5 linked regions of the Zea mays genome follow. The protein of the gene in region 2 binds, or shares a complex with, the protein of the main gene of each other region. Links are inferred from orthologs where the notes say so. Each region holds a gene or a part of one and is shown on either strand. Other genes may lie near its edges. The genes, in order: uncharacterized protein LOC100276155, Probable mediator of RNA polymerase II transcription subunit 26b, uncharacterized protein LOC100216950, mediator of RNA polymerase II transcription subunit 25 and Mediator of RNA polymerase II transcription subunit 23.

Region 1 (4,752 bases), on a different chromosome or scaffold from region 2:
ATCTACTTGCTAGGATGCATGTTTGTCCCCTCAATGTGAGATTATGGACTTAAGCCTCCCCTAACTCCATAATTCACTTACTTCCTATTTTTGGACCAAATAACCAAAACCACTTGAAAAGCCACTTGTAGATTTTAAAATTTTAAATTGGTGGTGTTTGATGTTTGATACATTGTTCATTGCTTTGGTCCCTAAACTTCTCCCCCTTTGGTATCAACCACCGAAAAAAGAAGATATTAAAAGCATGTAGGAAGTAAATAATACTTGCCCTCATAAAGAATTTTGTCAATTGATACCAATTGCAGAATTTTGCCCTCATGTAAACTTGCCCTCATGTAAGAATTTTGCCCTCATAACGATCACGCGTCACCTAGTGTGTGTAGGCATATACTTTGTATGGCGCATTGTGCTGCCTTCCCCGGTATACGGGTCACTGTAGAGGCTCCAGTGCTGAGGTTTTTTCTATGACTGGGTTGACTGACCCCACATGGCAGTGGGGATACGCCTTAGAGCGTACGTGGTGGCGTTCAGTCGTGTCGATAGTGACCTCCTGGCGCCCCTTCGGTACGTTGCACATATGTCCGGACGTGGGTTGATGATGACGCGTCTTGTCGTAGCCATCACGGGTTAATAGCGTTAGGTTGGGACCTCCGCCTCGTATGGTTGCCCAATTTGGAGTTGGTCGACCGCTCCTCCTCAAAGGGTTGCTCAGTGGGGAGTTGGTCGGCTGCTCTGCTTTGCGAGGTTGCTCGTCGATGAGTTGGTCAGCCGCTCTGCCTCTCGACGAGGAATTGGTCGTTCGCTCCATCTTGCAAACTTGCTCGACGGAGGACTTGGTCGTCCGCTCCGCCTCGTAGGCTTGCTTGGCAGAGGGTTGGTCGGCTAATGGGCCGGAAGGAGGTTGTGGGCTTACTTTTGGTTACCCTGTTCCTAGGTACATGACAATTTACATAGTAGAGTTCTATTTGGTAGAGCTCTTTTAATGGCCCCTCAACAGCTTCTTCAAAAAGGCTACCAAATGGTGGGCTCCTCTCGTGGCTTCTCCATAAAAATAGGAAGGAGATGTCCCTAAAAACCGAGGAAAGCCCAGAGCCTAAAAAGGAGGCTTCTCTGACTCGACTCTCTCTTGTCACTCACCCTCCCATGAAAATAGGAGTAGTTGTGTTTTAACTAAATAGAGTGTTCTCCAAGGGTTACTAAAAATAAGGATCAAACTATTTTTTTCAGATGAGCCAGAAGGAAAGCCGGTGATGCAAAAATCCTACCAAAAGGGAGCCTCAGAAGAGTCAACCCACTTTATAATAGTACACATATTCAAGTTTTAAAATTATATATAACCTTAAAAATCATCTATATATTTTGAGCTTTTAAAGTGGGCTAACACGAACCCTACTAGATGTTAGTGTCGGCATGACATGATTAGACACTATAGTGCCGTGTCTAGACAATAGTACTAACACATCACGACACATTTACTAATAGTGTCTAATAACACCATTAATGCTGGACAGACAATCTATTTAGCCATCTATAGATGAATAAGGTTAAAAAACACTATCTATCTCCTCTCGTATCTAATATCTATCCACTATTTCAACTCCAACGCTACAAACAAAGGTATGACTATCGTACAACAACAGTTCTTTAGACGGCCATATCAGCTGGACACAGCCACCGTACTCCGAGATTAGCGCCCCCGTCGGCCAAACAGTACCGGACTGGCCGCCGTTCACAGTTCACGCCCCGCGTGGTCCCTATTTCCCGGCGAGCACTAGGCTACCGCCGCCGCCGTCAGGTGCCGGTGCCCAGACCTTCGTCGTGCCCATTTCACCGGCGACGAGCACCCACTAGGTATGCCCGTCCCTCCTCTCCCCTATCTGCTTTGCGAAACCGAGCACTCAAAACCTAGCTTAAGAATCGGATCTGATTCAGGAGTAATTGCAAGTATATGCATGTATTATTATGCCTACTAAATTACTAATAACTTCGATTTTTCCAATAGCCCCTGCCCGCAGGTGTTGGGAACTGGGGATAGAGATGGATCACCACCACCCGCAGCAGCAGCAGCAGCAGTACGGCGATCCTTACCGTGGGCTCATGACGTCCCCGCAGCCCGACCACCACCTCCACGCTCTTCAGTACCATCAGCCGCAGCCGCAGCAACAGCCGGCGCTTATGTCTCCACCGCAGCCACAGCCAGCACTGATGTCTCCACAGCCGCAGCAGACACTGATGTCTCCACCGCAGCCGCAGCAGCATCACCACGCCTCTCTTGCCTCCCACTTCCACCTCCTACATGTAAGTAACGGAGTGTTTGGAGTTGTGTGGAGTTTTGTGTTTTGGGGGCCTTTGCTCTTAGTTTAAGATAGCATAGATGATACATACCCTCAAATGAACCCTTCTTTTTGTAGTGATGTCATTGATGTTGTTGGAGTGTGCCCTTTGTGCACCGGAATTTCAAAATTCTGAACTTGGGATTTTGCTAGTCATTAAAGATTGTCATTAATTTGTCCTGTATTTGTTGCTCAGCGATTGCAATTTCTTCACACCATGATTTGTCACTTTGGCCGGTAGTGAAGATTGCCATATTATAGGTGTACATGAACGATATACAAGCGTCAGAGCGTGCAACATTGGTAATGGCCAGAGAAAATGTTGATTCTAATCACTCGAGTTGGTTTGACAAGAAATACATAAATTAAAAATATATATGAGGGCACTTTAGGTATTGTAGGTTTTCTTAAGCTGGCAATCACATGTCTGTATTGGCATCTAACATTTAGGCTTATTTCCAATGGCTTTTTTGCAAGTAGCAAATCTTTGTTTCCACTTTTATGATGGCTCTTCTTCCTTTTACTCTTTGAGAAAGTACTAGAATGTATTGTGAAATACTGATAGTTTTCTTCTTTGCATAATTTTGTTCTCTGTTAGTTGGTTACAAGATTAGCCGATGCTATTGGTACAGGAACAAGGGACCAAAATTTCGATGCACTGGTAAGAATCACCATTTACTAATTTTCATTTGTTTTATGGATCAATGTTCTTGTACTCATAGTGCATGATCTTGTCAGAAACAATAGTTGTAGCTTCTTCTAGGCGTGGAGCCTGAATATTCTTATACAGAGTTTGAATTGACATGTGATGTAATTCTTAAATCACTTCCCAGAGAAGAGACAGGTCACAAACAATGCTCTAGTGTTGGTGGTGCACAGGAAGCTTGGGACCAGCCCAGGGTGACAGGGTCTGCACGGTTCAGTTTTCCATAGCCAAAACCAAGCCAGTGGAAGACATACCCTTAGTTATGCAATTATGCAATTGCAGAAGCATGTTAAAATTACTACTATGTATTGTGTACTTCCATGCTGATTTCTTATAGAATACCAGCTAAACACCATATTTTTCCCAGCGTTTTGCTAAATCCTAATTCCAATAGCTACTGTATTAAGAGAAGCTTTTTATATATATCTAGGTTGAAGAATTGACCAGCCAGTTTGCTAGGTGCCAACAATTGTTGAACTCCATATCGGGAACAATAAGCTCAAAGTCTACTGTAAGTTCTGTTACTTCTCTTTCCTGACTCATATGCTTTATTCTTAGTGGTCTTCTGAATTTGATAATAATTACTAAGTTAAATTGAACTATTCTGGCTAATGAATCTCAATTACTTTGTTTTGGTATCCAATAAAATTTTCAATTGCACAAGAATTAAGAATTTTTTCCAGAAATGGATAATAAGACGGGGTATAGTAGATCTGTTGCAGGTTTTTGTGTTGTCTCATAAAATGTCTATAAATATTCATGTCTCTAGGCAAATCCTTTTAAAAAGTTAATTCACATTTATTTAAACATCAACAGGAGCATTGCCATATTATATAGAAGGCATGGGACTAAAAGGCTTTCTTTGGGACTGCCCCAACTTGATTGGAGCTAAAAGGCTTTGTTGTTGCCAGAAGCACTAGCATATCATATAAGAACTCAAATGTGCACGGTGCACACATGTTGTCCTCATGCTCAAACACGGATGAGGCTGCCCAAGCAGTCTTGGAACGTGCCTACTGAGCAACTCACACACATAGAGGCTTAGTCCCCTCTGATGAAAATCCCGTGTGACACCTGAGTCGCCCCAGTCAGGGATCAAACTCGGGTAGTAGCGCTCGCACGGTCGCACCGAGCGGCCTTAGTGCCTTACCACTGACTTACTGAGCCATTGTTTTGTTTTCTAATTCACAATTATTAGTTGTTAAGAGTGTCTAAAGTTTGGCTAGTTTTGGCAGTTTTTACTGCTGGGTTACTAGTACGTAATAACTGATGTTACTAGCCAGTAGGGACTGTCGGTTTAGTGGAGACCGGCATGAGCTGCCTTCCTTAAAAAGCCCTAGTTTTCCAGTTGATACCGGTGTCAGTGCTGTCATTACGATCTACAATATTTAGAACCATTTTAATAGACCTAATATTGCTAATTTTATATGTTGTATGGTGCTGGTTATTTTGTGAATTTCAAAGAAATTGGTGGAATATTGCTCGATCAGCACCATTGGTGATTGCCTGGTTTACCCAGTACCAGCTGCAATACATTAAATATTGGAAACATGTTTTTATAGCATGATTGCTGTTGATGACCATTTTAAATAAGTTAGTCAACAATGTGTATTAATGTGTTGACCTTTTCTTTTGTAATTTGTTTTGGATTAATGCATTATATGTAACAAATGTGCATATGCATTATGAATCTCACCCAAAAACTAGATGTAT
Region 2 (4,635 bases):
CCTGCTGGTACGCGTCGTTTTCCCTCATCTCACCCGGCGGGGGAGATGCACGCTCCAGTTTTTTTAGATATAAAAAGTTTCGTCGCAGGACTGCGGCTTGTGTGGGTCGCCGTTGTGCAATAGTACAACCAACCATATATATATACAACTCCCTCAATTCCAGTGATTTTCTTTCGAGTGCGTGAGAAGTGAAGTTTTTTTGTTTCCTCTCTCTCTCTCTCTCTATCTATCGATCTATCTTTTTTTTAATATATACTCTTCCATTTCCTTTTTCCTTCCTACTATCTCTGCTGCTACACGAAGCCAGCATATGGTTGCTAGTGAAAAGGACACACGACTGGCCCTTCGGCTACCCCAGCAGCCACTCCAAAATGGAACACCCGCGTAAGTCATACTACTGTAGAAAATTTAAAAAAAATGAAAATAAAAAAAAGAACCTCGAAACAACCCTAGCCAGCCACTGTCCCACACTACTGGTGGGAGACGCTAGATGCGCACGCAGTGCACAGGGGACAAAATACAGAGACGGAATTCCTTCTCAACAAAAAGCATGAAACACATGCCACTTTTGAAATGGGAGTATCTATGCGCGGCGTGGGAATAAGCCAGGATGCTCGGATCAAGATGCTAACACTGCAAAAACAGACGATGCATTTCTTTCGCTGTTTATTATAGTTTCATCAGATTGTTTGGTGTAAGATTTTGATGGCTATAGTATTTTTTTTTCTTTTCCCGAGATTTCCGGAGAGGATTTTTTTCTTCTTTTTCTTTCCATCTCTCTCGCTCTTTTCGTTCAATCTTACTTATTATACCGTCACCCATTCTTATCGTTCTTGTTTTTTTGCGACCATGGGTTATCATCTCATGTATTGCGAAACCTATAGTATAGCATTCGACTCCTCATCTCATGTATTGCAAAGCATCGCGGACCTCTTGTGTCTTACGATTTTGCCACCTTGAGAGCCTGCTCTGTACTAGGTGCAGCGCGTCGCACGACTGTGTTAAAAAACTCGTCTTCCGTCTTTTTTTAAAAAACAAATGCACAACAGTTGCCTACAACGACAAGCATTTTTTTTCAAAAGTTATATTCATGTCTCGTCAGTTGTTTCATATAGAATTACGTCTTTATTGTCTCATTCAACCTATCAACTAGAACAAGTACCACGCACCAAGCTGTATTAAATTCACTACAATAAATTTTTTATTTAACACACATTGTACATGTTCCGACTTTATATGGATTTTTTAAAAAAATTAATGATTAAACATTGAAATACGACATGAAGAAAACAGAATAAAAATATATGATAAAGCTTGTGAGGGCATCCCATCCATTTGACATGACACGCTGTGTGCAGTGCTGAAAATACTTGTGCTCGGTAGTCGGTACGCAAATGACTTTGCAATTATGGCCCGAGAGAGATATGCTTTACCAAATAGTAAATAGTTCAGATTATACGCAACTAAACAATAATCATGATGGAAAACCACCCTGTGACTTTGTGAGTGAGCATCATCAACCTAGCAGCACTGCTCCTCAACACAGAGAGAGAGAGAAGGAAAGAGACCGGAAAGGGCGCCCCCCGACGCCCGAGTCGACCGCAACAAGAATCAGCCACGCCGCGTCTCACCCATCTCCCGTAGCATTTCCGCCATCTCCTGCGGGTTGAGTACGGCCGAGTCCTGCTGCCCTTCGCTCGCTTCTTCTGGTAAATTGCAGTTTGTTACCGCAATTGCAGCTGCTAGTGGTGGCGAGGCATGGGCCATGGGAGAAAGACTAGTTGTTGCTGGTGTTTGGTAGTAGTAGCCGCGTAGGTCTCGTGGGTGTGCGCACCCTGCCTTCCCCGTCCCTATCCGCCCGTCTCATCGTCATCCCCTTCCTGTCTTCAACTTCACCTTCCCTGTGTTTCCTCCCCGCTTCCTTCCGCTCTAGGGGTCAGCCAGGCAGTCCAGATAAGATTTGCTCTGGTTAGGCTACCTCCGCGCCGCGCTGGAACTCCCTCCCGGTGAGGTTGTTGAAACCGACAAGGAACGGGGACGTGGGGCCCGAGGAAGGTCACGCTGCTAGTTTTTTTCCTTCGCGATCGATCCCTTCCGCCTCCGGATTCGCCCTGCTCTTGTTCCTCCGCTGTTTTCTCGATCGGTTGGCTGGTGACTCTGCCCCTGCCCCTGCCCCTGCCCCGGCCCCGATTCGGGGGAATCTGATTCGCCGTTGGGCGGGCGGGAGAGATTGGGTTCTTGGTTCTGGTGCCGGTGCGCGCGGCGTAATTTGGTAGCAGATAGAAGCAGGAAGGGGGAGCATCGGCCCTTGGCTGCGCTGCTGAGAATCGCGGTCGGGGGAGGCTGATCTTGGCGACGGTGGCCCGGCGGGGACCGGTGGCGGCCGCGGCGATGGCCGACGGGCTGGATCGGTGGCGCGGCTTCTTCCGTGGCGCCGGCGCTGGCATCTGCGACGTCATCGAGAACGCCATCCTCGTGGCGGCGGCCGACGCGCCGCGGGACTTCCTGCACCGCCGCGACCGCATCGCTGAGAGGCTCTTCACCGCGCTCCGCCGCGACGCGGCGCCGCCGTCCTTCGGCAGCGCCGCGGCGTCCACCACCCCGGCCACTCCCGTTGAGGAGGACAAGGGCAGCGTGCGCCGCGTCGCCGAGAAGGAGTGCAAGGTCGACAGCAGCAGCAACGGTACCCACGGCGGCGGCGGCCATGGCCATGGCCACGCCGATGAGGACGATGATTCTGACTCTGACGACGAGCGCCTCCGCCGCGCCGCAGCGAGCAACTATGGCCACAACTACGATGATGATGACGAAGATGGCGACCAACAGGAGGAAGATGAGCAGCAGCATGCCGCGGATGATACTGAAGAAGGGGAGGAAGACCACGACGCTGAGGAGCTCGAGGCGCTCACCAATGAGATCGATGAGGAGTCACAGATCGTCGGCGAGGTCCTCCGCATCAAGGAACTCCTCCTGCACAAGGAAGACCATGTACTGGCAGACTGCCTCGTTTCTTCATTTATTTATAAGGTCCTTAAACTTCGAATTCCTCTGAGCTAAATCATGTTGTTCCTGCAGTCGGATGCCACTTTGTTCGATTCACTGAGGAGGCTGCAGTTGATGCAATTGTCCGTCTCTACGCTAAAGGTACAAAATGGATATTGCGTACATATGAGCTATTTGATGTGTTGATCCCTGTTTGCTCTGGCTGTTTGGTTTCTTAATCTTAGGACTGTTCATTGCAGGCTACTGAGATTGGAAGAGCTGTTAATCGGCTGCGGAAACACAACTCACGAGAGATTCGGCACCTCGTGTGCACTCTCATTGAGTAAGTTCCATCTTCATTTCTGTCAATTTTGGTCCCTAGTGCTACTTCTCTGTTGCTTTCAAAGTGCTTAATAGCAGACCAAAATCACTGATCAAATATCAACCAACCAATTGTAGATTAGCTACATAATCATTGGAAGTGCCTTCTTGCTAGCGTTCTTGGAAATGTTGTTGACATATGAGGTTACCTTGTGTGTTTCAGAGGTTGGAAAGTTTTGGTTGATGAATGGGTCAGTACCACAAATGCTGCCCTGACAGGTAACTGAATTGAATTGATCTAACAGTTTCTAAATGAAGACTGGCATCTTAGCTTAATATGGATATTTGTTCTTTGGTGCTGTAGAGAACTCCCCTGGCTCTTCAAATCCTTCTGTTGTGGATGAAGAAGAGGAAGGGCTTCCATCTCCACCTTTGGACGAAGGGGCCTTCTTTGCCACCCAAACCACTTCTATTCAACTCTCTGAGGTACTGATATAGTTAATTCCTGCCATCTGATTGGGATTTGTGTTTAACAACAATCTGACTCTGTGTCTGTTGTTTTTCCTCCCATCTCCCCAACCTAAAGTTCTTTGACGAAATGGATGAAGATGGAAGTGAGTACAGCAATTTAGCAGTTCTTAATTTTCCATGCTTATTGCTTGGTTTTAACATTATGATGATTATTAACGTTGCGCATACGGTGCCAGATTTGAGACATAGTAATGACCCGAGCCTTGGAAACAAGAGGGGTAACAATGGTGGGAGACTTGCAAGCCATTCAACGGTTGCAAGGCAAGATCCACCTCGCTCTTATCCTGGAGTCGTCGAAAGAGTTCAACCCAGGAGGCTAGAACTGGCAAGGCAAGAGCCACCAATGAGGCAAGCGAACCCACAAACCCTCCAAAGTTCAAGTTTGCAAGCCAAACCTCACGGTGCGCTCAACAAGCAGTCTAATAATCCCTCAAGTTATGAATCTGGACCGGGGAGACCAGTAAAGGCAGCTCAACAGAGACCATTTGGTGACATGAAACCTAAACAAACTCGAGAGCATGTTGCTATCGAGAGAAAGCCTATGGCAAGCCAGACAGATGTAAGTACACGCAACTAAGGCACATGTTTTTGACGATGGTTAAGACCTCATGACTCACATTATCTGTTCTCCTTGCTGTAGAAATCAAGGCCCGGCGCTCGACCTTCGGCAGGAGCCAAGCTAGAGTTGGCAAAGCCAAAGGTTTACGATGATGGTCTGGATAACAACAGGAAGCTGGAAGCAGCGAAGCGGAGGCTCCAGGAGCGGTACCAGGAAGCGGAGAATGGTTCGTGGTCTCTATT
Region 3 (4,649 bases), on a different chromosome or scaffold from region 2:
ACTACAGTGTGGATGGTGTTCATACGCTTTCAGTGAATATGGTTCATTTTGATATTGCTATAACCAAATATACATTCATGTCTATCTACTGGCATAGCTTTGGATTTTAAAGTGAATTATAGCATAACACAGATCAATATACTGTTTTCTTCAAATATAGAACTGTTAATGTTCTGCTGCCACAGGCAGTGGTGGATCCAGGAATGGATCAAAGGAGGGGCTGCTAAAAGAAGGTTAGTTTTTTTAGGCTGAACTAAATGATATATCAATGTTTAATATAACAAAGTAACAAGTATAATTCAAATCTTCAAGACACATGTAGACAAAATAAGTAGGTACGAAATCTATAAATACAATACTCAATATATACCGCTCAAGATATCTCCATCAGCTTACTCATCCTCATCTCATATTTCAAACCCCACTCTATAAATAGTGCATTCTACAGTGTAAAACAATGTTTTACACGGTCATATGCACGATCTGCTGGCCATAGCCTCATGAATTACGGTTGCAACGTAAATTTATCTTTCGAGTTCTTATGCCTTAAAAACGTTTCAAAATCTTGTGCTGGCTGCAGCGTGCGCCTTGCGCTGGCCTGCACCTTGTGCTGGCTGCTGGGCGCCTACACGCTGCTAGCTGCTGCAGGTGTGTCGGCCATGCACGCTGGTCCGTGGCCGTGTCCTGCGTGGCGGCGTGGGTGCACAGTGCGCTGCCCGTCAGGCTTTGTGATGCGGCACTGGCACTACTGCAGTGTTATGGCACGGATGGGGGCCAGGCGCGCGTGTGTGCGGCACTACTGTTTGGTGCTGGTGTGCTGTGGCGACATGGCTGCGTGGACGAGATCGGGTGCGGGTGCTAGATGCCACGGTTAGATGGAAGGCTGTTACCTATTTTTGTTGGATTTTATGGACTAAAATTATGATATGATATAAGTATTATTGGACCGGGGCCGCCCCTGGCCACAAGTATGTGTAAATTGTACATTTTAATGGGCATTTACAACAGTGGCATTTTTTTATTTTAACCGCAAAATGATGCTAGAAACTTTTCCAGTGGCTGTTTGCCTTTGGGTTGAAAATCATTGGCATCTCAGCAGGTGTCTCTAAATTAATTGACTGGCTGGACAGCTGATTCATATGATATTTTGGGTTGTGATGAGTTAATATGACAGTTGGAATTTTGGGTGATATTTCATATTTTATACCTTTTTGGCTTCAATGTTTGATTTACTACCTTTCTTCCTTTTATGATTAATGAATGTACAATTGTACATGCAGAACCTTGATAGGATTAAGTGTAGGTTGTTGGAAGGAACAAATGCCCAAGATGTACGGGCACTTGTGTTGGACATGCAAGCAAGATTACTTCTGGATATGCTAGGCAAAGGAATCGAGTCTGCCCTTACAAATCCATCAACTCTGCTACCTGAGCCCTGGCAAGCTTCCAGTGATATGTTATCCAGCATCGATGCTGACAAAATGACTGTTGAGCCAGCTCTGCTTCCAAACATCCAGGTCAAGCTGTCTCCTTTATGCAAGTTGTTTCTATTTCATAGCCATGGAACTTAAATTCAGCTATCTAACATTCTTTCTTTCTTTTTACTGACTTTATTCTTTTAAGACTTGCTACTGAGCCGTTTTTTTTCATTTTATAAAGTAGTGAGCAGTATATTGGTATGCTAGATCACTTCCATGTAAACGGTACTTTAGTTATGTTGGTGAACTCATGTGCAATGTCTGTTATCCTTTGCCAAAACTGGTGTATTACAGCCTTTTAATGTTGAGTATTGTATAAATTTCAGCACAGGTTATCTGCATAGGGATTCTTTATGTTACTAGGAAATAGCTTATTTTATTTGCATTCAAATGCAGGGTTACGTTGATGCTGTTCTTGATTTAGCATCACATTTCATAACTCGCTTGCGGCGTTATGCGAGTTTCTGTCGAACTCTGGCGAGCCATGTGGGGCCATCTTCTACCACAGGCACTTCTAGAAATATGGTTACAAGTCCAACAAACAGTTCTCCTTCGCCATCAAATAATCAAGGTTAGCTATGCCTGCTAGCTTGCTAAATCTTGTGTTTTTCTCTTGTTTGTGCGCAAAAAAGTACATCCAAACCTTATGTTTTCTTCATTGCAAATTTGAGGCTTAAAGTGTTGTTTATTTAGTGCTGCTAGCATCTTGATGCTCCTTCAAATTTCAGGTAATCAAGGGGGATCAACATCTGCAACAGGGAACTCACAAATGCAGGAGTGGGTCCAAGGTGCAATTGCTAAGATTAGTAACAATTCTGATGGTGCTGCCACTGCAACACAGAATCCAATGAGCACGAGGACATCATTTATGCCCATCAGCATTAATACGGGCACTTTCCCTGGCACACCTGCTGTGAGACTTATTGGGGATTGCCATTTTCTTCATAGATTATGTCAATTACTGCTATTTTGTCTGCTTTTCCGAAGAAGGCAATCACCAAGGTTACTTGCCAGTTCGCAAAAAAATCAAGATTCTGCCATGCAGAAAATACAACACATGATGAATGCTAAGACAGAAGATAACAGTTCGACAGTAAGATCTGGTCTAGGGGCTGCCAAAGTAGAAGAAGGTCACTCTGCGCGTGGTGGACAATTTGTTCTTGGTGGTGCAAAGGGTCCTGAAGAAAATCCAATTGGCAAATCTGTTAGAATAGGTTCTGGCAACGCTGGGCAAGGTTATACTTCAGATGAGGTGATTATCAAATTCTTGACAAGATATAGTATTTTTTACAGAGTTTAATATTGAGTTATACTAAGGAAACTTTGGGAGTTAGTGCTACCAAACTGGGACTGATCGTTGGCATTTGAACTTTGGGAGTTAGTGTGAAGAAGCTGACGATGTGCCAAATGCGCTGGAAAACTGGTGACCTGAAGTCCTGAACATAGTGATTAGTTTGGAAACAACTATGTTTTGGCTCCTGCATTTCTTTGGAAATGTCTAGCTTTGGTTGCTATGGGAGAACACATGTCGATATAGCCATCATAGAGTGCAATTGCGTATGTAGGTTATTTTGGACCCTTGATTTAAGCAGTTTAAAATTTTGTCCAGCCTAGCATGAACAACAGTTTGATTGCATATGTCGTTCATGATCTCTATTGAGTGATTTATCAGATGCTTTACAGATCTGTCTTTCTATTCTTTGGAAGATTTCTTTTTGTCTAGTTTATCTAATTATCTCTGTAATTTTATTTCATTGTTGGTAGGTCAAGGTCCTTTTTCTTATACTGGTTGACCTATGTCGAAGGACATCTACCTTGCCGCATCCATTGCCTGCCTCTCAGGTTGGTTCCAGTAGCATTATCATAAGGCTGCACTACATTGACGGCAACTACACAGTGCTCCCTGAGGTAGTGGAAGCGTCTCTTGGTCCCCATATGCAGGTACTAGTCAAATTCTCATGGAAGTTTCTAATGGTCGCTTTCGTACTATTTGTGGCCATTTTGAGCTACCAACATCTATCAATTATAGGAGTAGAAGTTGATTTTCAAGTGCACGACTCAGAGATATTGCAAGTCTTCCTGTTTCGAACTGAATTCAGGACGACCACCTTTAAATGTTGATTAGGATTCTCTTAGCAGAAGTTATCTTTTTTGTATTAGCCATTTTTTATAGAAACATGCACTATTACTGCCAGGGCCTTAGACATGGCATTTTGAGTGATCCCTCGATGCCTACTTCCCCATCTATTTTCAATATTTCATTGTTTCCTATGTCTGTAACTCTGTAGAATATGCCTCGTCCACGAGGAGCTGATGCTGCTGGACTTCTACTTCGAGAATTAGAACTGCAACCTCCTGCGGAAGAATGGCATAGACGCAACATGTTTGGTGGACCCTGGTCAGAACCAGATGATTTTGGTCCATTGGACAATATGCCTCGTCTAAAAATTAGTGGTTCCATCAACTCTCATTTGTCTGACATGGAAGTGGATGCTGTCAGTTCCATTGGGATTGATCTTTGGCCAAGAAAGCGTAGGTTATCTGAAAGAGATGCTGCATTTGGTCTGAAAACATCTGTAGGTCTTGGAGGTTATCTAGGTGTCATGGGATCTCGAAGAGATGTTGTCACGGCTGTGTGGAGAACAGGTCTCGATGGTGATTGGTACAAGGTGAGTATGGTTATGGTCGCTTTACCTTTTGCTGTCAAGTCTGGGTTCATAGTTCCTTGACGAGTTCTTTATTAGAGAATCCTGGTTACTCCCCTAATATACTTCGATGCCTAAATTTGTTGTTTCTTCTTTCTAGTGCATACGTTGTTTGCGGCAAACTTGTGCATTTGCGCATCCTGGTGCCCCAAATCAGACAAATGAACGTGAGGCTTGGTGGATCAGTCGGTGGAGCCATGCTTGCCCAATGTGTGGGGGTTCATGGGTGAAAGTTGTTTGAGCGCTGTATTTGGCAACAACTTCGCTGCTAATTGCTTTCCTGACAAACATGTATGGAGTTCCATAGTTATGCATCTAACGCTAGGCTACTAGGATCAGGTTCAGCCGTTCATGCCAGATGGTTGGTCTACAGGCACATGCACGTGGCACGACCACTGTGGAAGTCTGGTAGAATTAGGAGCTATTCTGGGGGTCTGAATATGTAACTGACATTTGCATTATGCTG
Region 4 (2,783 bases), on a different chromosome or scaffold from region 2:
CACAATTAGGACAAGGTGGAATTGTTGCAAACCAAAATGTGATGAGCACCCTTGGACCTACAGCTATCTCTTCAACGCCTGCGATGATGCCGACACCTGGGATGGTCCCACAGACAGGAGTCAATTCCTTAGGTGTGAATAACAATTCTGCTATGAATATGCCTATTACGCAGCAGCATGCCAATGCCCAACAGCCGCCACCAAAGTACGTCAAAATTTGGGAGGTAAAGGTTTCCTTGTCTTTTAGCATTTACATATACATAGACAGCATCCCACCTCTCCAGTATAACATAGAAATGAGTTGCTTGAAATAAATGGTAAGCACGGTGCAGAGAAGATGACTAATAGGCAATGTTAGCAAGTCGTCTAGCCGATCCTAGCCGCCATGGGGCTGACTAGGTGAGTTGTCGCGATTAGTCGTCGACCAGGGCGAGTAGTCGCAATTAGTTGTCGATCAAGGCGACTAGTTGGCCATAGTTGTCCCCTATTCATCCTATCCTATATATATATCAGGATTAATATACCAAATATATACTTATATACTATATGTTCGAGAGTACAAATCAAGCATGAAGATAACTCTAGGGTGATAGCTGCACGCAGGGTTTCAAATTGGACAGGAAAACACGAGCAAGCCATCCTAGATGCAACCCATGTCCTAAGTTGCTCATCAATTCCAGTTATCCACCTCCTAGTTGTCTAACTAATCAGACGACCAGAAAACTAATCAGCCTAATCGAGTTGTAGCCCCTAGTCGAGTCCAGGATACCAACTAGGACGACTAATCACGATTAACTGGATGACTTGATAACACTGCTAATTGGAGCCTTAGGCCCTGCTGTGGCTATGATACTGTAGTGCAAAAATTGGGAGTTATGTTGCATACAATCTTGTTTGTTGGCCAGAGATTTTCAACAACTGATGTGTCAGGGTCTAAGGAGGCCCACGGAGGGGCTGCGACAGCAGCAACCATGGGCCCTCCAAGGGGATTATATAAGGATAGTTAGAGATAATATTAGAAGATTAGTTGAGATTATTTAGGAGATTAGTTGAGATTATCTAGGAAGGTTATTAGTTAGTAGTTTGTTGAGAGTTTTTAGGAGAGTTTTAAGGAGATAAGGATCTCTAGCTAGATAGGGGCGGCCAGCCGGTCTATTTATGTAATCAATGGATGAGAAATAAAGCAGACAAGAATTAGAAGGGAGAAACCCTCTTCTTGCTCGGCCGTGGGTAGACGCCCCCGGCCGACGTTCCTGCCCATCGACACCCCTCCTGCTTTTCAACTAATCTCCTAAATAATCTCAACTAATCTTCTAATATTATCTCTAACTATTCTTATCTAATCCCCTTGGAGGGCCCATGGTTGCTGCTGCCGCAGCTCCTCCGTGGGCCTCCTTAGACCCTGACATGATGTTTGCCATTTATCTGTATTTCAGGGAACTTTATCTGGCCAAAGGCAAGGACAGCCTGTAATAATTTGTAAACTCGAAGTAAGTCTTTGTTTTGCATTATTGGTCTCCAAAAAAATATAGTATATTGTAAGAAATTATAAAAGTTTCTAGTAGTTTTTTGTTCTGCAGCATTACTTAGCAGAAATAATGGTTCCTGAGTTCCTGAGATATGATGACACTTCTATGCTCTTTGTAGATCTGTATGAACAACACTTCTATGCTCGTTCAACTAAGTTTTGTGATATCTTTGACCCATCTTTTTGCTAAGACTGGAAATAAACTAGTTTTGAATAAACTTCTGAAGTTGTAATCGTGTTTTTTTAAACTTCAGGTAGAGAGAATTTAACCCCTTTAGAAATGGACTGTATCAATTGCTGCGGATGCCCATTTTGAGCCATAGTTTGTTATCACCTTCAAAGCTGGAGTCTTACTTGTGCAGCTCTTTCGCTTTTTTGTTTTGACATTTCTCACTTTAACAATGTCTGACAGGGTTATAGGAGTGGAACAGCGTCTGAAACGTAAGTGTCTGATTTTTTGCAATAAACCTTACATTTTCTTGAATCTCTGTTATACAGTGTTTTCTGTTGATTACTATGATTGAGGTAAGTATTTCTTGTTAGTTGATGTTATGTTGTCGTTGTCCTTGTCTTGAAAGAAATGATACTAGAAATTTTCATTGGGTATGTTTAACAATGGAACCTTTTTGTGGTACTTTCGAATTATGCATCTAGACTTAGTAGGAAACTGAAAGCCGTACTTTCTGCATGCAGACTTGCAGCGGACTGGCCAGAAACAATGCAGATTGTTCGCCTCATAGCCCAGGAGCATATGAACAACAAGTTTGTTACTCATTCTTTTCAATGCCAACTTGTTGCATCATTTTCTTGTAAATGTGCTGTGAATGACATATTTACTTGGTTATTCTGCAGACAATATGTTGGCAAGGCAGACTTTCTAGTTTTTCGGACTTTAAATCACCATGGGTTTCTTGTACAACTACAAGAGAAGAAGCTGGTCAGTGCCTGAGTCTATTTCTTTTTAGTCTCTACTGTATTTAAGTGGGAAAATCGTTGTGCATTGGGTCTCCCTCAGCGCGGCGCAGCGCTCTCCCACGGGAAAAAAAATAAGAAAAAAGAGAGCATACTAGCGCTCGAACCGTGGCCCTCTTCTATAGATATTCTAAATATTGTGTTACACAGAGGATAAATATTGTAAATATATATACATACTAATACATTTAAATTTAAAAAAATATAATCATGCCACGTCGGACCGGGCCGGCACTATAGACTGAGACGGTGGCTCAGGCACGACATGGTTCTCAGGTCGGGC
Region 5 (3,546 bases), on a different chromosome or scaffold from region 2:
ATGCATGCACATGAATACATGATTAATATTGATCATCACTTTACCATCACAGATAAGTCTGCTTGAAAAACCAGAACTTCAGCAAAGAGTCAAGAATTTCTGTAATACTCGTTCTCCAGAGCATTGGCTGAAAAATCAACATCCAAAAAGAGCTGAGCTCCAGAAAGCTCTTGGCAGCCATCTTTCATGGAAGGACCGGTAATTGGAACCATTTAGTATATTACTTACTGAAAATTTTATTAAGTCAATGACATTAAGTAATTATACAATTACATATCTCATGTTTGATATTTGTGTTACATGGCACCCATATAATAAACAGTTTCCATTAAAAAAAGCTGTGTTCTTTTGAATAGCAATTTAATCTATTTATGGCATAGTTAGATTAATTTGGTTGTCTGATCAATTTGATATTTTGGATGTTCTGGTCATGTTTTTGGCCAATATGGTTTCATATTAGGATTATTTTATCTGTGGTCAGTGCTTGTTTGTCCATTTATACCCAGCTTTAAACTAATTATTGTAATATATGCTGCACCTATTCCAAAACTATAAAGCTACTATTGGCTGTCAACTTACCAAACAGAAAGTGAGGTTTTCTTCTGAGATACATATTGTTTTGTTTTCAATGGTGGTAATAGAATCTTGATGTCCTCTAGTTTTGTTGATGCAGCTATCCACCCTTCTTCGATGACATTGCTGCACGTCTGCTTCCTGTTATTCCACTGATTATTTATAGGCTTATTGAGAATGATGCAACTGACATTGCAGACAGAGTTCTTGCATTCTATTCTTCCTTGCTTGCCTTCCACCCGCTAAGATTTACATTTGTACGTGATATTCTTGCGTATTTCTATGGTCATCTTCCAATCAAACTAATTGGTAGGATCCTCAACCTGCTGGGTGTTAGCACTAAGGTAAACCTATTTACTTTTTTAGTTGTAACACTTTGTGCCTAACACTTGCTAACTATGAGCTTTTTCCAGACCCCCTTTTCAGAATCTTTTGCTAAATATTTAGTGTCATCAAATTCTTCAATATGTCCACCACCAGAATACTTTGCCAACCTGTTGCTAAACCTCGTTAATAATGTTATACCTCCTTTAAGTAGCAAATCGAAATCAAACCCAGCAGACACAACACGCTCGACTTTCAACAAACATCATGCATCTTCACAACCTGGTGGAGTTGGTAACACCGATGGCCAGAGGGCATTTTATCAGAATCAGGATCCTGGGTCGTATACACAGCTTGTTTTGGAAACAGCAGCTATTGAGATTCTCTCACTTCCTGTGCCTGCTGCTCAAATAGTGTCCTCTTTGGTCCAAATAATAGCACATGTACAAGCAATACTTATACAGTCAAATAGTGGCCAAGGAATGTCAGGTGGTTTGGGGCAAAGTTCTGGGCTGCCAACTTCTCCTTCAGGGGCTGCTGAATCCTCAGGTCCCAACCAAGCGAACAGTGCTGCAACTGGCATCAATGCCACTAACTTTGTTTCTAGGAGTGGTTACTCCTGCCAACAATTGTCTGTTTTGATGATTCAAGCATGTGGTCTTCTGCTGGCACAACTCCCACCAGAATTCCACATGCAACTATACTCAGAAGCAGCTCGAGTCATAAAAGACTGCTGGTGGCTTGCTGATGGTTCCAGGCCTGTTAAAGAGCTTGACTCTGCTGTTGGATATGCACTGTTGGATCCTACATGGGCTTCCCAAGACAATACATCAACAGCCATTGGTAGAACATTTTTCTTTAGTCTTATGAGCTGGATCAGATCAGAGTTAACTTAATGGAAAATTATATTGCGTCCTTGTTAGCTAAAATACCATATTGCAATGTTTCAAAATAATCACAAAAATCATGTATGTAGTAGACCTAAAGTTAAGTGTAGCCGCAATAAATCAGTTTGAAATTCATCTTTGATGTTGAGATTAAAAAAATAGAAGTGTCACTATCAACACATGGTGAACAGTGTCAGGTTGACTGCTTGTCTATTTTATTTCTTGGCATCTAGGATGAATTTCAAACTGAATTGTTGTGGCTATACTTTATGTGTATTACATACATGATTTTTATGTTGACTTTTGGAACATTGCAGTTTGGTGTTTTAGCTATCAATGGCGCAAAATCTGCACTCTAACTTAATATGCTAGTGCCTCAATTATGTCTTATGTCGTTTGTGCTTTGGTTGCAGGTAACATTGTTGCCCTTCTGCATTCCTTTTTTAGCAATCTTCCACAAGAGTGGCTGGAATCTACTCATACTGTCATCAAACACCTTCGGCCAGTCAATTCAGTTGCCATGTTAAGAATCGCCTTCCGCATATTGGGTCCCTTGTTACCTCGTCTAGCCTTTGCTCGACCTTTGTTCATGAAGGTATATACTCGGTTTTCTCTTTGCAGTTACTCCAAAATTAGAAATATGTGGTATATTTTTCCTTTAAATTAAATGCTCAACCAACCTTGAAGGAACAAGGTGTTTTTAATTTAATAATTAAAGAATATGCACCGAAATTTGCCTTGATGAGGACTTGAACTTGTGTGGCCCAGAGCCCCAGAGATACATCCACTGTCCTTGACTATCTGAGCTAGTCTCAGTTTTACTTTAGATTTACGTTATGAGCTTGTAAGTGGTCTAAATTTAAAGTCAACAGCTTTGTATGGCAAGGTGTTAGTCACTTCGAATTGGATCAGCATATGCTGTACCTGCAATGCAACCTCAATAACTGCTGCAAGTTTATGTTCATCATTTAGCATCATTCCAGCATTTTTTGTCAGAATTTACATATATTTTCCAGGGTGTCATTCAAGTCCCAAACTCCGAAAATGCATTTTTAAGTCCTCAAGCCTGTCTTTGTGTGACGTCGAGGTCCCAGTTTTTTAAAATGTTATTTTTAGGTTCAGAGGCTTGTCTCGGCTTGTTATCTTGGTCCCTAAACTTAGTGTGCCACTTAGGTCCAAATAGACCCTATCTACTCCACCTCACAACACCACATGTCACAACAGTTGGATCCATACCTCATTCTTGACCGGCTGCTTATTGGCAAAGCATGCTAGGGATAGACACAGGTTTTGGGACAAGATTTTATATTTCATTTAAGCCATTACGCAAAAACATAGCAGGTTTAGGTATATATAGAAGTAGCGAAGCAAACTTGAAAACTAAGAGATTTCAGCATATGCAGATATATATGCTAAAGTAGATGCTATTATGCTAATGTAGGTGCTAAAGGGAGCTAAGAATGTAAGGTGCTGACATATGCACCTACTCTTAAGATAAATACAAGATTTAGTCTATCAAAGCAATCGTTTGCCTACCTCTTCTGCTTAAGGAGCACTAACTCTGCCACTACTACTGATGATGTCATGGCCTTTGATATGGAGAATGATTTTTTTTTCGGACTACGCAGGAGAACCACATGTCATTTGATTAAGAAAGAAAGAATTACAAGAGGCTAAAGCCTCCTAGGCGAACTCCACCTGGCCAAAAACTATGGTGCCAAGCGAAAGGATCTTTGGAGGGTTTCCTGGAGATCATTAGCCC

Evidence for each region.
Region 1: Probable mediator of RNA polymerase II transcription subunit 26b (region 2) and uncharacterized protein LOC100276155 share a complex: the UniProt entries of both Arabidopsis thaliana proteins name them as parts of the mediator complex. The link is inferred for Zea mays from reciprocal best matches to the Arabidopsis thaliana genes AT5G05140 and MED9.
Region 3: Probable mediator of RNA polymerase II transcription subunit 26b (region 2) and uncharacterized protein LOC100216950 share a complex: the UniProt entries of both Arabidopsis thaliana proteins name them as parts of the mediator complex. The link is inferred for Zea mays from reciprocal best matches to the Arabidopsis thaliana genes AT5G05140 and SFR6.
Region 4: Probable mediator of RNA polymerase II transcription subunit 26b (region 2) and mediator of RNA polymerase II transcription subunit 25 share a complex: the UniProt entries of both Arabidopsis thaliana proteins name them as parts of the mediator complex. The link is inferred for Zea mays from reciprocal best matches to the Arabidopsis thaliana genes AT5G05140 and PFT1.
Region 5: Probable mediator of RNA polymerase II transcription subunit 26b (region 2) and Mediator of RNA polymerase II transcription subunit 23 share a complex: the UniProt entries of both Arabidopsis thaliana proteins name them as parts of the mediator complex. The link is inferred for Zea mays from reciprocal best matches to the Arabidopsis thaliana genes AT5G05140 and AT1G23230.

What each region holds. Positions count from the first base shown.
Region 1 is NC_050097.1:1,837,263-1,842,014, reverse strand, and holds the start of uncharacterized protein LOC100276155, read left to right. Parts: upstream 1-1,686; 5' UTR 1,687-1,851; intron 1,852-2,002; 5' UTR 2,003-2,037; coding exon 2,038-2,298; intron 2,299-2,931; coding exon 2,932-2,994; intron 2,995-3,469; coding exon 3,470-3,550; intron 3,551-4,752. UniProt on the Arabidopsis thaliana protein: Component of the Mediator complex, a coactivator involved in the regulated transcription of nearly all RNA polymerase II-dependent genes.
Region 2 is NC_050103.1:106,778,502-106,783,136, forward strand, and holds the start of Probable mediator of RNA polymerase II transcription subunit 26b, read left to right. Parts: upstream 1-1,633; 5' UTR 1,634-2,391; coding exon 2,392-2,988; intron 2,989-3,075; coding exon 3,076-3,144; intron 3,145-3,242; coding exon 3,243-3,325; intron 3,326-3,526; coding exon 3,527-3,582; intron 3,583-3,667; coding exon 3,668-3,789; intron 3,790-3,889; coding exon 3,890-3,917; intron 3,918-4,010; coding exon 4,011-4,393; intron 4,394-4,474; coding exon 4,475-4,619; intron 4,620-4,635. UniProt on the Arabidopsis thaliana protein: Component of the Mediator complex, a coactivator involved in the regulated transcription of nearly all RNA polymerase II-dependent genes.
Region 3 is NC_050096.1:232,623,398-232,628,046, reverse strand, and holds the start of uncharacterized protein LOC100216950, read left to right. Parts: upstream 1-1,481; coding exon 1,482-1,517; intron 1,518-1,874; coding exon 1,875-2,049; intron 2,050-2,206; coding exon 2,207-2,730; intron 2,731-3,242; coding exon 3,243-3,419; intron 3,420-3,766; coding exon 3,767-4,147; intron 4,148-4,283; coding exon 4,284-4,424; 3' UTR 4,425-4,649. UniProt on the Arabidopsis thaliana protein: Component of the Mediator complex, a coactivator involved in the regulated transcription of nearly all RNA polymerase II-dependent genes.
Region 4 is NC_050097.1:178,591,888-178,594,670, reverse strand, and holds part of mediator of RNA polymerase II transcription subunit 25, read left to right. Parts: coding exon 1-224; intron 225-1,436; coding exon 1,437-1,490; intron 1,491-1,940; coding exon 1,941-1,969; intron 1,970-2,221; coding exon 2,222-2,290; intron 2,291-2,380; coding exon 2,381-2,465; intron 2,466-2,783. UniProt on the Arabidopsis thaliana protein: Component of the Mediator complex, a coactivator involved in the regulated transcription of nearly all RNA polymerase II-dependent genes.
Region 5 is NC_050100.1:213,163,064-213,166,609, reverse strand, and holds part of Mediator of RNA polymerase II transcription subunit 23, read left to right. Parts: intron 1-52; coding exon 53-198; intron 199-673; coding exon 674-917; intron 918-986; coding exon 987-1,740; intron 1,741-2,197; coding exon 2,198-2,379; intron 2,380-3,546. UniProt on the Arabidopsis thaliana protein: Component of the Mediator complex, a coactivator involved in the regulated transcription of nearly all RNA polymerase II-dependent genes.